Oreochromis niloticus: one gene and its partner. The protein of the gene in region 1 purifies or fractionates together with the protein of each later gene. This does not show direct contact. Links are inferred from orthologs where the notes say so. Each region holds a gene or a part of one and is shown on either strand. Other genes may lie near its edges.

What was found.
Region 2: the proteins of chek1 (region 1) and hax1 purify together in Homo sapiens (affinity purification with mass spectrometry; 3 studies listed by BioGRID and IntAct, with this or other methods). This does not show direct contact. The link is inferred for Oreochromis niloticus from reciprocal best matches to the Homo sapiens genes CHEK1 and HAX1.

The regions. Positions count from the first base shown.
Region 1 is NC_031975.2:13,694,225-13,701,539, reverse strand, and holds the start of chek1 (serine/threonine-protein kinase Chk1), read right to left. Parts: upstream 3,004-7,315; 5' UTR 2,842-3,003; intron 2,612-2,841; 5' UTR 2,611-2,611; coding exon 2,546-2,610; intron 1,598-2,545; coding exon 1,483-1,597; intron 706-1,482; coding exon 597-705; intron 379-596; coding exon 314-378; intron 210-313; coding exon 140-209; intron 19-139; coding exon 1-18. Other genes in the region: complement factor B, read left to right, coding at 6,291-6,348, 7,034-7,240. UniProt on the Homo sapiens protein: Serine/threonine-protein kinase which is required for checkpoint-mediated cell cycle arrest and activation of DNA repair in response to the presence of DNA damage or unreplicated DNA.
Region 2 is NC_031985.2:17,528,545-17,535,806, forward strand, and holds hax1 (HCLS1-associated protein X-1), read left to right. Parts: upstream 1-4,479; 5' UTR 4,480-4,625; coding exon 4,626-4,690; intron 4,691-4,971; coding exon 4,972-5,222; intron 5,223-5,477; coding exon 5,478-5,677; coding exon of another isoform or gene 5,678-5,696; intron 5,697-5,768; coding exon 5,769-5,823; intron 5,824-5,919; coding exon 5,920-6,053; intron 6,054-6,147; coding exon 6,148-6,283; intron 6,284-6,354; coding exon 6,355-6,428; 3' UTR 6,429-6,750; downstream 6,751-7,262. Other genes in the region: ubap2l (ubiquitin-associated protein 2-like), read left to right, coding at 45-112, 242-436, 1,053-1,148. UniProt on the Homo sapiens protein: Recruits the Arp2/3 complex to the cell cortex and regulates reorganization of the cortical actin cytoskeleton via its interaction with KCNC3 and the Arp2/3 complex. Slows down the rate of inactivation of KCNC3 channels. Promotes GNA13-mediated cell migration.

The DNA.
Region 1 (7,315 bases):
CTGTCAGCTTCAGGTTATCTGAAGGTGAAAAAAAAGAAAAGAAAAGAAAAAAAAAAGTCAACCCCAGAGGGCGGTGGTTATAAGGAATAAAAGAGAATCCTAAAAAGAGAATCCTTTGATAAAGATTGCATTTCCTCACCTTTGTCATCCAGCAAAATGTTCTCTGGCTTTATGTCCCTATGTGTGATGCCAAAATCATGGAGGTACTCCTAGAAAAGGTTAAAAAAAAAAAAAAAAAAAAAAACTTAAAAAGAGAATAACAGCAGGAAAATACGCAGGAAGTCACATCAACACAAAGATGTTCTTCACTCACCACAGCCGCTATTAGCTGCTGGAAAAATCTATGAGCATCCTTTTCAGCCATCCCTACATCGGGCTCTAAAGAGAGCGTAAAAGAAGAAAGAGAGTAAGACCGAAATCAAATATTTGCAAAGAATGATTACTGAAGACTCCAGACGCATTTCAGCTAAGCTGAATTCATGTATTCATGCTAATCATATCTGAGTCAGGAAAGTTACAGCTGGAAGAATAAATCAGCAAACAAAAGGTTTTTCTTGTATGACAGTTTCCTCGTCAAATGTGTGTCTGCAGCTCACCGATTCGGTCAAACAGCTCTCCCCCGGTGCAGTACTCCAGGAAGAGGTACACAGTGGGTCCTTCCTTCCGATGGCCAAAGAAGCGTACAATGTTGGTGTGTTTGAGCATCTATGAGTTAAGTGCACACACAAAGATCCTCAAAACAGTGCTCTCAGCTATCACTCTACTTAGCTAAGAGCTTAACGTTTTTAATTAATTCAACAAATCTAAAACAATAAAAAAAATAAAAACAACTTCAGTGTCTGTTAAATTGCTTACAATCAGTTTGTATCTGTAAACTAGAGCAACAAACTGGTCAGTCTCAGCCAGTTTATCTTTACGAATCTAACCAACATTAATAACAAATGCCAGTTCTTTATATTTTAGCCAGTATGAAGTACGACTTCATACATGTTTGCTTTCAGTTTGCCTCTTCGGTGTCTGTTCAGCTGGTTTTTGGATCTTTTGTCATCATGTCACATCATTTTAGGTGAGCCGAAACAAGCAGACACATCTGTACATCTGTATTCTTATCTGCATGTTTGCTTTCAGCTTGCCTGGAATAGCAGTAGCTTTTCCCAACAAATGACACCCTCGAGCTGAGGGCTACCAACGTCCCCAGATCAGCTGAGGCTAGAGTTGGTTTTCACAACAGTAACAGTTTTTATCTAATTCTCACAGTCTGGGACTGGCATGAACAGGCTGTGTTTTTTTTTTACTGATGCAAGGAAAAGGGAAATGAGAGCATACAAAGCTGTGATTCAGTTAATTAACAATTTATTTCATGCAGCTGTTTACTGTATTAACATATGGATTTAAGAACAGCTTGACTTGTTTCACAACACACCACTGGTGAGCCGCTGCTTTCAATAATACTAACTGTGCAGGTGAAGGTGATGGATGTACCTTGTGGATGCAGACCTCCTTCTTGACATTTTCAGCACACTCTTTTGCCTGCGAGGTATCGATGACCTTCACTGCTACCGCCTCTTCAGTCTGTCTGTTCACCAACAGCCTCACTCTGAGACCAAGAACACAAAGAGGACAAACCGGTTAGATCATAAAGAGAAAAGAGCACGGAGGTGAAGAGAAGTGAGAGGAAGTCTGAGTGGAAGTTATCAGGATGCACAAAGAGCTAAAATCTTCCTACAGTGTTTCTAGAGATAATTTTCAAGTACTTTAAACTTTGTTAAACTATTCAATAAAATCAGAACGTCAGGTGTCAAATTCCGTCTGTTTTCGTTGTTTTTATTTTATATTTTTTTTTCCCCTTCTATATTTTACTGCATCATTGTTGTGCATTTTATTTATTTTAGTTGCATTTTAGATTGTTAAGTACTTTGTGCAGCATGCACTGTTGGAAATGTGCTATATAAATAAACTTGACTTTGACCTCTAGAAAACAAGAAAAACAAAAAAACCAAACAAAGATATTTAAGATCTTTTTAAACCCACTTAAAGAGTCAATCTAAAGTTAAAAGGTTCTTTTTGTGCGGTAGTTTTCTTCTATAACCAACTTTGAGCATTGGTATCTCTGGACACCTCATTTAATGGTGGCATAACGCCATAATTTAAGAATGATAGAAGCAGTCATTGCTACCCTGAGTGTTTGATTTGTTTTCTAACAATTCCATGGCAAAAACCATGGAATTGTTGTGGTAAAAATGGTTAAACTTTAAAGTCTCATAACATTAAACATGTTTTAGCATATGTAAGGTCTCATTTTTACCTACATTTTGATACCTGGTTCATCTTCTTTTTTTTTCAAGGCTAACTGTGACTGTGATGGAGTCAGGTGTCTCCTGTGAGTGATGTTTTTGGATTTTCAGATGAACATTTCTAGTGCATATACATGCCTGTCATGATCCCATGAAACAAGGGGGAAAAAAATCCTTGTGCAATGGCTGGAAAAGGACAGCTATTAAAGGCGATAAGCTAATGATAAACAATGATAAGGAAGCTTTCATACTCTCCGTAGGCTCCTTCTCCCAGAGTCTGAACAACGTCCCAGTCCTGCACAAAAGGCACCGCCATGCTAGAAACAGAAACACACGCATTCATCACTTTCGCTTTCTAATATTTACTTATGTATACATTATTTTCATAACAAGGGTCCTATTTCTTCTAACAAGTGTCTGTTAAGCATTTACCAGCTTACAAAACTTAACTTTGACAGCACTTTGACAGAGTGCTGTCGAATGTCATGATGCTCAAAAGAAAACCGCTAAGAAAAATAAAATACGAAAATATGAGAAAATAACCTACCTGCTCAGCCTTTTCACACAGCAGCGACTGCCACATGTAGCTATCCTTAAAGCTCAGACGCACGTCTTCATCCTGCTGCACTGACTTCTGAAGATTTTTCACAAATTTGGCGCGTTGTTGTCTCATTGGCGATAACTTCCGCTTGGACGTCATTTCCGCCTTGTCTTCTTCTACGCCTCCCTTCTTCTTCTTCTTTGAGTTTAGCCGGTCAGCTGCCACCTACTGTTCATTATTATCCAAGTCTTATTCGGATTAAACATGCCAGATTTACAATTCATTATTCAACATTGTTTAAAGCCTGAATAATTGCCACAAAATTCTATTTTTTTAAATGGAGAGTTTATTGAAACACCTGACAAATTTGTTTATAAAGTTATTTACATATTTTTCCCCTTATAATAGTTGTAATTTGCATCATATTCACTACATCTGGCCTTTAAAAAAAAAAAAAAAATTGCTTAAAAAAGTATTGCAAAATTTATTTATGCTTTAAAATGGGAAAAAAGTCACACTGATGATGTAGAAGTCTCAAAAACTCACAAACAACTGCATGTATTAAATACGATACACAGCCCTATTTTATCTCGCCCTGAACTGGAGATAGCTATACATGCATTTATTTCCTAACGCTTGGACTATTGTAACTCTTTGTTTATGTGTCTAAGCAAAGGTTCTCTGGATCGTCTGCAGGTTGTGCAAAATGCTGCAGCTTGGTTGTTGACAAAATCCTCCAAGTATTCACATGTGACACTATTGCTATTTCAGCTACACTGGCTTCCTGTTGAATTTAGAGTACATTTTAAGATCCTGGTCTTGACATTTAGAGCCTTGCATGGACTGGCACCACCCTACATCTCCGATCTGCTACAGCCATATGTCCCTAGCAGGTCCCTGGGGTCATCTGATCAGGGTTTACTTGCTATAAAACAGACTAAGATGAGAACTAAGGGTGACAGAGCTTTTGCCACTGTGGCCCCTAGACTGTGGAACTCTTGCCCTCATACATTGAGACCTATGGACTCGGTAGTTGTTTTTAAAAAAACAACAACTCAAAACTCACCTTTTTTGGACTTTACTTCTGCCTGTTTTATACTGTCTGTTTTACCCTTTTATTATTTGTTATCTTATGTGCAGCACTTTGTGATTCTGTCAGGAAAGGTGCTATATAAATAAAATTTTATTTATTTATTATTTATTTACTAGGCGTGAAAGGGTTAAACATCCATCCATTCTCTTCCGTTTATCCTTATTAGGGTCTCACGGGGTTGGAGCCTATAAAGTTAAACATGTGGCATGTTTTTTTATTTTCAATTGTAATTAAGATATGGGTTTATGAGATATGCCAGTCATTGCATTCTGTCTTCAGCGCTTTGGACAGCTTCACAATTCTTTTTGAATTGAGTTTGTAATGAGCTGAAAAACATTTTAAATCTTTCTTTGAAATTACTGATGCAGGTGTTTCACAGTAATAATTGCCACTTTGCTATTTTAAGAAGTGTAATAAAAGATAGAAAATAAACAATAACACAAGAAACAAACAAAAACCCACCCATCCATCCATCCTCATTTAGAGTCGCCCTAACTCAGGTCAGCACCAACACAGAAAGAACGACACCAAGCTCTACCACTACCCTGACATTAAAAATGATGTCCTAATATCTATTCCCTTCTATTTACCAACATTTATACACTCAGTTAATGTAATTATATGTTAATAATCTAATGTGACTCATTGTGCAGTGTAAAAAACTACATAAGAAATACAGATTATGACATTTACAATAACATGCTAGCTGCATGTGGAATCCACAAGACCCAATTTTAGCAACAAAAACTGCTACAATACACGTGGGTCAAAAATAAGGGAATTGCAATGCAGCTGTGAGTTTCATGCAAATGAATGTTCAAAAAGTGGCCTTTCTTCCCATGTAAGAAAACATTTTCTAGTTAATGGATGTTACAAAGCTTTTATTTAAACCACTTTTAGGTGTCTGAAAGTGTGAAGCTTCAGCTGGAAGCTCCAGCAGATACTGTCATTTCAGAAGGCCCTCACAGAACTGAGGCTTTTCCAATTCAGGTCACTAAAGGGAAAATAATAGTGCCACAGGGTTTATTCCCTGGAGAAACTGATGTGTCCAGTATTCACACTGTAAAATTACCCAGTTAGTCTGTGTGGCATGTAAATTAAAAAGAAGACAAAAAATCACATTTTCAAAACATAATCTCTTAACTGTTTTTCAGAAAACAAACTCAAAGCCAGAGAGAGCTTGAGGCACGATGGAGTGTTTAATCAATACTTGAATCAATGTGTCAACAAGCTAGCCTGGTGCTTTTGGGAAATGATGAAGCGAATGTTTGTACTTTGTCTTGGTTTCACAATGACTTTGTTTTTCGTGGAACATGTGACAGCGTGTGTACACATAACGGGAAATCCTGGATCCAAAAAAAACTTAGTTAAGGTCAGGACACACAACACAAACCATGCAACCCACATTTGTAGTTGATGCATTTAACTATTTCATATATAAACAATTGAATAAATGAAAACAGTACATCAAAAAATCAAAAAATCTGAGTCATGAGCACTTTTGTTACCGTTTTGCTTCACCTTTTGTTTTAAGTGAAAGATAATTGCTTAATACAGCTGCTCAGCTGCTCAGCTGCTTTCTGTTTGTCACCTCACACTGCACCAATCAGGTGTTATAACACAACATCACATAGTTTGGCATCTTTTTCATAACATGAGTAAAGTCTTCCCTGAAAAAAAGGTATCAAGAAAAAAGACTGCAAAATATTCCTAGTAGAGTGTCGAGTGTGTCTTTAATAGAGGACCAGCTGGAGATCCAGAGATTGGGGCCATTCGGGATCAGTTCTTGGCCTCGTGCCTTGTGTACTCTGAATTTGTCAGTTTTCCACGTAGTCTTTCGCAAAGTGATGAAGTGATCTTCATCCTTATTGCTGAAAGATGCATAGACTCTTTGTACAGCAAATCTTTTTACTAATGAACCTGATCAGTTTGGTAAATGTTCTACTAGTGGTTTTATTTATTTATGTATTTAATTGAGAATTAAACCCAAAGGCTCCCTGTTTTTGACCTCAATTTTTTCATGTTGTTAGCATCAGCACGTAATAAATATAAAGCAGTTTCCAAATAATAACTACTGTAAATAGCGTCCCAGCTCACATTGTAAGTGATAAATTAGATAAGAGATCTTTGTGTAATTCTAAATAAGTTATCAGTTGAGAAGGATTTATGTAAATGTGGAAATTGTTTGAGTGTTTTCTGTGATAAACATGTATTGATCCTCTTTTACAGGTCATAAAGTTAATAAGTACCAGGATGGTCTTTGTCCACTCCCAGTTTAAACATCACTCTCTACTCTGAAATAAATCAACCACTTCTGCAATATACTCTCATTTTTAAACTGTCCCCCAGTTTAAGCTTCAAGATGGGATTTTCTATCCACTGGAGTTGGCTTGCAGCGCTTTTATGTGCATTTTGGATGGGTAAGATACTTTTATTTTAGATAAAAAGTTATATACAATTTTGAATTTCTAGTAATGCGTTTGTTGTTTACTTAGGTTTATGCACCTTATAGGTGTAAAAACTGATCAATGTTCAAATAAATATTTATTAACTAATATATAACTTCAATTCAATTCAATTCAATTTTATTTATATTTATTTATATAGCGCCAAATCACAACAAAAGTCGCCTCAAGGCGCTTTATATTGTACATTCTGAATATATTCTGAATATTTGACAAACGTCCTTCTATCCATCAGGTTTTTAGAGACTTAGCAACATCATCAAATGTGAACATTATAGTGAATTTTTCAGAAAATGTAAGTCTGTACTAAATTTTGTTCATCATCTATTTATGGAAATTAGTGCAGGCTCAAAGAAATAATGTTGTCTTAAATATAAAATATCAGACTTTTTGCATTTAAAACATAACAATTTAAATTCTTGTAATACAAATAATGCTTCACAAAGGTAAGTAAAACAATGTATAAACCCTTAATCACTAACCTGGTGATTTTAGTAAAAGAATCCATTGCATACTGTGTACTTCAAAAAAAGGCAAATCATGAATTTTACACTACTTTAGTAATTGTGTAATGGTACGTATGTAAGTGTATGATAAACTTAAATTGTGGCCTCTGAGAACTGTGGACATTTTTTTTCAGGAGCTGGTGTTCGATGTGCTTGCCCTGAGAGTAATTTGCAAATGCAAGGAGGGAATTACACACTGAGCAACAACCTGGAGAGAGGCAGCATGTTGGTATACCACTGTCCTGAGGGCTACTATCCATACCCAGCAATAACCCGCTTATGTCAGGCTAATAACTCCTGGAGACCACGACCCAAAAGATTTCCAGCTCAGAGATGCAGGCGTGAGTGGCAAAGATGTTTCTCCCTTGCCTCACACGGCCTGATAACAACATAGTAACTCAGGGTCCTTTCGTTTT
Region 2 (7,262 bases), on another chromosome or scaffold:
AACAGTTAATGAGCTCAGTTTGTGTCGTTTCCCCCTCTCTGCAGGAGTCTCTGTGACATCAAGCAACACGGGAGTACCAGATATTTCAGGGTCTGTTTACACAAAGACGCAGGTAACTACAGAATAGAACAGAAATATTTACTCACAGGATATGCTTTTGCTTGTCTTGTAGCAGCAAACAAACAAACAAAAAAACGTTATAGTGGCCAAACTGATTATTTTTCTTCCTGGTCCCCTGCAGTCGTTTGAGAAGCAGGGCTTCCACGCCGGGACGCCAGCTGCATCATTCAGCCTGCCCTCTGCGCTGGGCAGCGGGGGCCCCATCAACCCTCCTGCCGCTGCCGGCTACGCTCCAGCTCCATTCATGCATATCCTGACACCACACCAACAACCCCACTCTCAGATTCTGCACCACCACCTGCAGCAAGACGGACAGGTGCAGTGTATATATAAATGCTTACATATTTGAGGTCATGCGATTTTTAGAAACAAGCGGAGCAAAGGCATTATTCGTTGACAAGGAAACTCCACCCAGTGAGTCAAATAGTAATGATCAACAGTCTGAATGAGCTCAAAAATGCATAGACTTGAAAGTAAATGATGGAAGTGTGTCGACACCAGTTCCCCGAGCGGTGACCAATGTAGCGACAGCTTTAGAGCCTGAGATCGGGTCGGCTTTAAGGTTGAAAAACGGCATCCTTCACTGTCTCAGTCACCAGTGTCTAAACGGCGACAAAAATTTATGGTCAACGCTGAAAAATGAGTGGGCGACATCACTGTAGCTCCATCTTTTATATTCAGGCTGTTAACTAGTCGACAACTTCCAGTCTTTTTGATAAAGCACGTTCAAAATAAATGAAGTAGCACTCGAGCATCGTGCAGTCAGACTGTTATAAGTAGTAATACAAATCTAGTGAATTGCCTTTAAAAGATTTGTTGGCAAGTTCATTAAGTGTTTGTGGTTTCACCGTGACATTAGCTGTGCTGCTTTTAGGTAAACACATGGCACGAAGCGGCAGCTCACTGATGAACTTTGTGACTCTCCTCCACAGAGCGGCACTGGACAGCGCAGCCAGAACGCCTCCATCCAACAGAAGTCTCAGATCAACAAGTCGGCGTACAACAGCTACAGCTGGGGGGCAAACTAACATCCACTCACGGGACCCCACCCCCCGCAGTGTCAAAAAGCTGGGAGGGGTGGGAGGCTCTTCACTCCTTCGGCAAATAAGTCTCCACATATAAATCCCCGCTTCCTCCTGCAGAGATTTCCCTCCAGTCTCTTGGCCCAGCACTCCCACAGCTCTGACCGCGGTCAGAGGAGGTGCTGTGCCGAGAGAACGAGCACTGTTAATGATGCATGGATGGATGGGTGGGAGGGACAGGAGGGGCTTTAAAAGTGAGGGGAGATTGGAGATAAATGGTGATAGAAGCAAACCATCAAGAGGGTGAAATACTAAGTGTTGGGAATTTGTATCGTATTAATCTTCCCGCCCCTTGCCCCCCCATTTTTTTTCTTTCACTTGTAACATAGAACTGTTTTTCTAAATGAACGTTTCCTGTATGGTCTTTTTTTTTTTTTTTTTTTTGTCTTTTCCCACTTTTTTTCCCACTGAAGGGGAGGAATGAAGTAATCTCTAAAAGGGGGTGGGGGCAGGCTGGTTTTGTATTTCAGACCCTCAACTCCCCCGTTCCTTAATTTTGATGGAAATTCTTCCCTCCTGAACCATTTCCAAACACAATAATTTGCCGTTGACTTTTCATGTTTTGGGGGTTTTTTTGTTTTGTTTTGGGGTTTTTTTTTTTTTAATGTCATTTTAAGTTTGCAGAAACAATTCTATAAATTGGTAGAGTTGTGAAGTTTATTTTTTACCGAATATAGATATATTATATATAAAGACATATAAGCAAGCTCACTGGCTTTGACTGTGAGGAAAAAGTGTGTTTGTCATGTGACTGCGTGCATGTTTGTACACACGGGGGGGCCATGGTTGCGTACTGTGCTTGGGTTTTTGTTTTGTTTTTGGTTTTTTTGCCTAGCACAGGATTTATTTTTGTTTTTTCATTATCCAACACTTGTACAGTAACTTTTCCCATTAATTATAAATATTTCATAAGGCCCCTCTTATTTTGAAAGATGAGAATGATTTCCAAGGCCAATACACACCCAGTCTGCCTTCCAGTGTGAATAACTTTGTTTCTGAGGCCCTCCCTGCCCCGCCACCTGTCCCCCCAACATTGTAAGGAAATCTGCGGCATTGAATACTGATGGACAGAATTGTACTATGGGTTTTTTCTTTTCTTTTTTCTTTTTTTTTTTTTTTTTTTTTTTTGTCAGTGATTTTTTTTTTTCTTTTTGTACTGTGCGTTTTAAAAAAAAAAAGTTTAAATGGATAAACTTGTCTTGTACATATATAAAAAAAAAACACAAGTACTGTAGTCCCTGTTTGTTCGATGGCTTTCTTCTTTTCCTTCTTAAATCCTTGCAGACTTGTTAGCTTTTTTGTTTTTGTTTTTTTTATTTTGTAAAAATATATAAATATTAAGTAAATAAACAAGAAAAAGACATTTTCATCATTTTGGATGTGAATGTCTTTTTAAGAAACTACGTTTCTCATGTGGCTTTTAAATACTTGAACATACATGATACAGTTCGTGGATGACATGTTGGGTAGAACTAAAACCTCTGGAGGCTTTCCAGTTGGTTTCTGTTTGTGGGCTGAGTCATAATAAACTCCAGGATGTCGAGTACCAAATGAAACTCCAAACTTATAACTACATCACACATTTTCTGGCCATGTAATGTACGGTATTGGTTGGTATTGGTTCTTTATTTTGTTTTTGTACATTTTAACCTCCATCTGTCTTGGATACACGTTAGCATTTTATGTTTCTCCATGATATATTTTCTACCCCCCTAGATATGCATCTTGGCACCTTTCTAGTAGGCAAATGAGAGACAGAACTGTACTTTTAAATGCCAGTAAATGCTTCCCAAAGGTGCTGTGTTGGATTGAGGTCTTTTACTGTATTAAACGCAGCTAAATTTGATTTTACTGGCTGAGGCTTCAGACTGCTCTAAACACTTGGTCTCTATTAGGTTTCTTGTGCCAAGCTCATGTCAGCTTAGTATGATTTTTTTTTTTTTTTTTTTTTTTCTATATGTGATTACACCTTGCAAGCACTAGGTTCTGTTTTTAGAAGCCAAGTGAGTTGCAGCCAATCAGAAGACATTGGGCTCTCAATGAGTGGGCTTGAAAAGGGTCATTTCAGGTAGTGGATGAAGTGAGACGTAGCAGAAATTGGATTTCTTAAACTCTGAATCATGCAAAGCTTCTGTATTTGGAGCATCAGAATAAAAAAATACTAAAAGCTGTAGATGTTCTCTCTAAATGAGCTCTGATCCTATTTGGCATAACTGTACTATACTCTCATTTCATGAGATATATATGAGCCATACACTTACCAGTTACGCCTTGCTAGCAGCAGATTGTACTTTTTTTTTTTTTTTCCTCTTCATAACTGCTTAAATTTTTTCATGGCACTGGAAACATTCCTCAGAGATTTTGGTCCCCGTTGACGTGATAGCATCACACAGCTGCAGAAGATATGTCAGCTGCACATCCATGATGTGAATCTTCCACTCCATCCCAAAGGTGCTCCATCGGATTGAGATCTGGCGACCGTGGAGGCTGATTTAAAAACTCATTGTCATGTTCAAGAAGCCAGTTTAAGGTGCTTGATCTGTGTGACTTGGCCTGTTATCCTGTTGGAAGCAGCAATCAGAAGTTGTCAGCAACAATACTCAAAAAGGCTGTGGAGTTTAAATTGTACTAAGGAGACCAAAGTGTGCCAACCACCGATACAAAATGGTGCCAAGCTTTTTGTTAATACCAAATTCTCACCCTACCATCCAAATATCACAGTTGAAATGGAGACTTATTAGAAAGGCAACTTTTATTCAATCTTCTGTTGTCCAATTTTTGTCGACTCCGTGCAAACTGTAGTCTAATTCTGGTGTACCCTTCAAGGTTCAAGGTGGTTGACCATACTGCCAATCAATCAATCAATCAATCAAACCTTTATTTGTCACATGCAAGTTTTCACCTGCAGTGAAATTGGACCCCCCCCCGACCATACATACATAAGACAGGTCGGAGACAGGTAGTAATTGGAAGAACACTGAAATGTACAATACAATGGGCAAATGGAGGAATGAAAAAAAGAGACCTCATACTGGGTTCCTTGTGGGAGGTCAGCATGAGAACAGAAAACAAAAAAAACTCCTCTGCACAGAGAGCACATACATCTTGACATCACAACACCATGAAGCACATGACAAGCAAGGTGAGAAGTGAGCCGATGTAGACACAGCCATCTTGCCAGCCCCGGGCATAGACCCGCCGTCTGTTACCTGAATCTCAACAGTGCGCTTTTATTTCGAGTGCCCATTTTATCTATTATTTACGGTAAAATAACATTACGACAGATTGCGTCATGATGAATCGTCTAGAACGCTTTACGACACTGTTGACAGCTGTAGTACATCTTGGCGAGTTTCTCCAGTGGATGTCCGCTGCTTGCACATTTTAAGTTATGGTTTAAGTGTCCACCAAAGCTGCAGTTAAATGAGTGTTTTTGATTTATTCCGCGGGTTCTTCGGGGTACCCGGAGGCCATTATCGTGGCCGGAGGTGAGTTTATGGCGTCGAAGTACGCAGCTGTACACTCGGCTAAGCTAGCTGAACTTAGTACACTTTCTGTTGCGTGCAGCTATGTCAGGGACAAGATTAGTATTTTCTGCCAGGAAAACCACAGGGGTCCTTCAGCTAGATTTATTTAGGTGTTATTTATGCTCACGGAGTTAATACGATTGAGTACTTTGAGGTCTGTTTGCTGGCGGCATGTTATAACGCAGTTTCTAAACCAAAGGGAGATTTCAAAGCTTGTACATTTGTGTTACTTCGTCTGTCAGGGACCCTTTCTTCGATGCCATGACTCATGACGATGATGACGATGAAGATGATGAAGATGGATTCCACTATGATGGGTTCAGTGGGGAGCAGCAGGACCCCTTTGACAGCGCCTGGAGGTTTGGCTTCAGTTTTGGCCCGGACGGGATGCGGATTCAGGACCCCCCGATGTTTGGCCACGTCCTCAGGGAGATGGAGGAGATATTCTCCCAGCTGGGTCGTTGGGAGGGACATCCAGAGGCTGGACACTTTGGTATGAAAACAGACCCACATGTTTTCATGTCGCTTGTTTTTAATGAAATGTAAAAAAACCCCAAAAAAACAAGTAAAAAAGTGTCAGTAAAGATGTATGGTGTACAATTCTTTCACCCTGGAAAAAGAAATAATTAAAAGCGCAAAATTAATCATGACATCCATGCCCATGAAGACTCAAATTCTAACCACAACTCGACATGTTCCTCTGCTCTGTGTTTAACCTGTTTGCTCTTTTGCCCTCTTTGTGTTTTAGATGTTCCCCACATCATGCCACCACCACCGTCTCAGGACAGAGCAGAGAGAGGGCAAGCAAGCTCCAGTGGAAACCCTCTGAGAGACTTTATGCTCAAATATCCTGACAGTGACACACAACAACGATCCAGAGAGCCCCGAGGTGATCACCGACCTTCTTACGAGTCACCTGAATTTCATGGCCGGACCCCTTTTTCCAGGGTAAAGGAGATATTCACTCCTCCCTCTTTGTTTCTGTTGCGACACAAGCTATTGTATATTCACTGAGATTTTTGTATTGTGTGTTTAAAAGTTTAATGATATTTGGAGACACAAAACTCCAGAGGAGGAGCACAAAGGTGACAGAGGTGGGTGGTGATATTTACATTTTATTTGATAATTTAGTGGAAGCTCTTTTAGATTGTGTCAAATTTATTTTCTATTCCCATTCTGATCCTCCCAAGATCTGGACTCGGCTGTGTCCTCTGGTGGCTTGGATCAGATTTTGACACCACCTGCTGGTCAGGCACCAAACCAGCCCAGAACACGGTCTTTCTTTCAGTCTGTCACTGTCACTAAGGTGGTGAAGCCTGATGGGGTGAGTGTTTCTTAATTCTGTATTAATACATTCATAGTGATTCTTTTAATAGTTTTGTCTCAGTTTTGATGAGCATTTCGTTTGCGTGTGTCAGAGTGTAGAGGAGAGGCGTACGGTAAGAGACGGCCAAGGCAACGAGGAGACCACGGTGACTCGCTCGAGAGGTTCTGGGATTTCTGAGGGACCAGATCATGCGAATGGACCTGTGCTGCCAGGTCAGCTTGTCTCGGGTGTGTGTTCTTTGAATTGTTTATTCACACACACACAAAAAAAAAAGTATTTATTTTTGGTTTTCTTCCAGGTGATCCCCACCACTTCTCAGACTTGCGGGATGATGACTCATTATTCTCCAGGTTCTTTGGAGGCTTTAAATAAAATGTGAAGGAGTTAGTAGAGATGTGAGCTAGCATATTTATATTACATACCAATGTATGGACAAACAGTTTCATGGACTTCCTTTGCCAAAATGAATATGTTGGATAAAGTCTCGCTGGCTCATTTAAGATGAAACTGGAAGTCCAAACTGATCATGCAGGATCGAAGCTGCAGATCCTGAAAGCTATTGATGATGACACACTGAGACACATGAGACGCTGAACAATTCACGTTTCCATATTTTATTTTTGTATTGTCCTGTAGACAAGCCTGTGTGGATGTGAGTGAGTGAAGAATTAAATAAAGACTCTTAATATATGTACAAAGTTGTTTGGCTCATATTTTTGTTAGTAACGGTATCTTTAGTCTTCAGCTTCTACATTATCAAGAAAACGAAATCAACTGCACAATATACTTTTAAGCAAAACTTTAAAAAAAATGCTGGACGTATGATACAATTTAAAATTCATATTACTTTTAATTTGACACAAGGATCCATAAATGCTTCATTTTCTAGCAGCTATTTCATGGTTCAGGCTCTACAGGGCTACAAAGTTACAGGGTCACAGTCATTCTATACAGCTCATTTAAACCTCGAGTGAGACGGACGAGTGACGCTGCCCTTTCTCTTAATTTAAAGGAGCTTACACATTTAACCGTTTGTGTCAGTTTGTCCACACGATAAAGAAATGCTGTTATTTTAAATGAAAGAAGTCTGTAAATCCAACCAGTTGTGCTTAAATTATAATTAGTAAATGTGCAAAATTACCGAAACATCTGGTAGCTCATCGCCTGGACTGTCCCGTAATTATACAACAAAGTTTTTCTTAATTC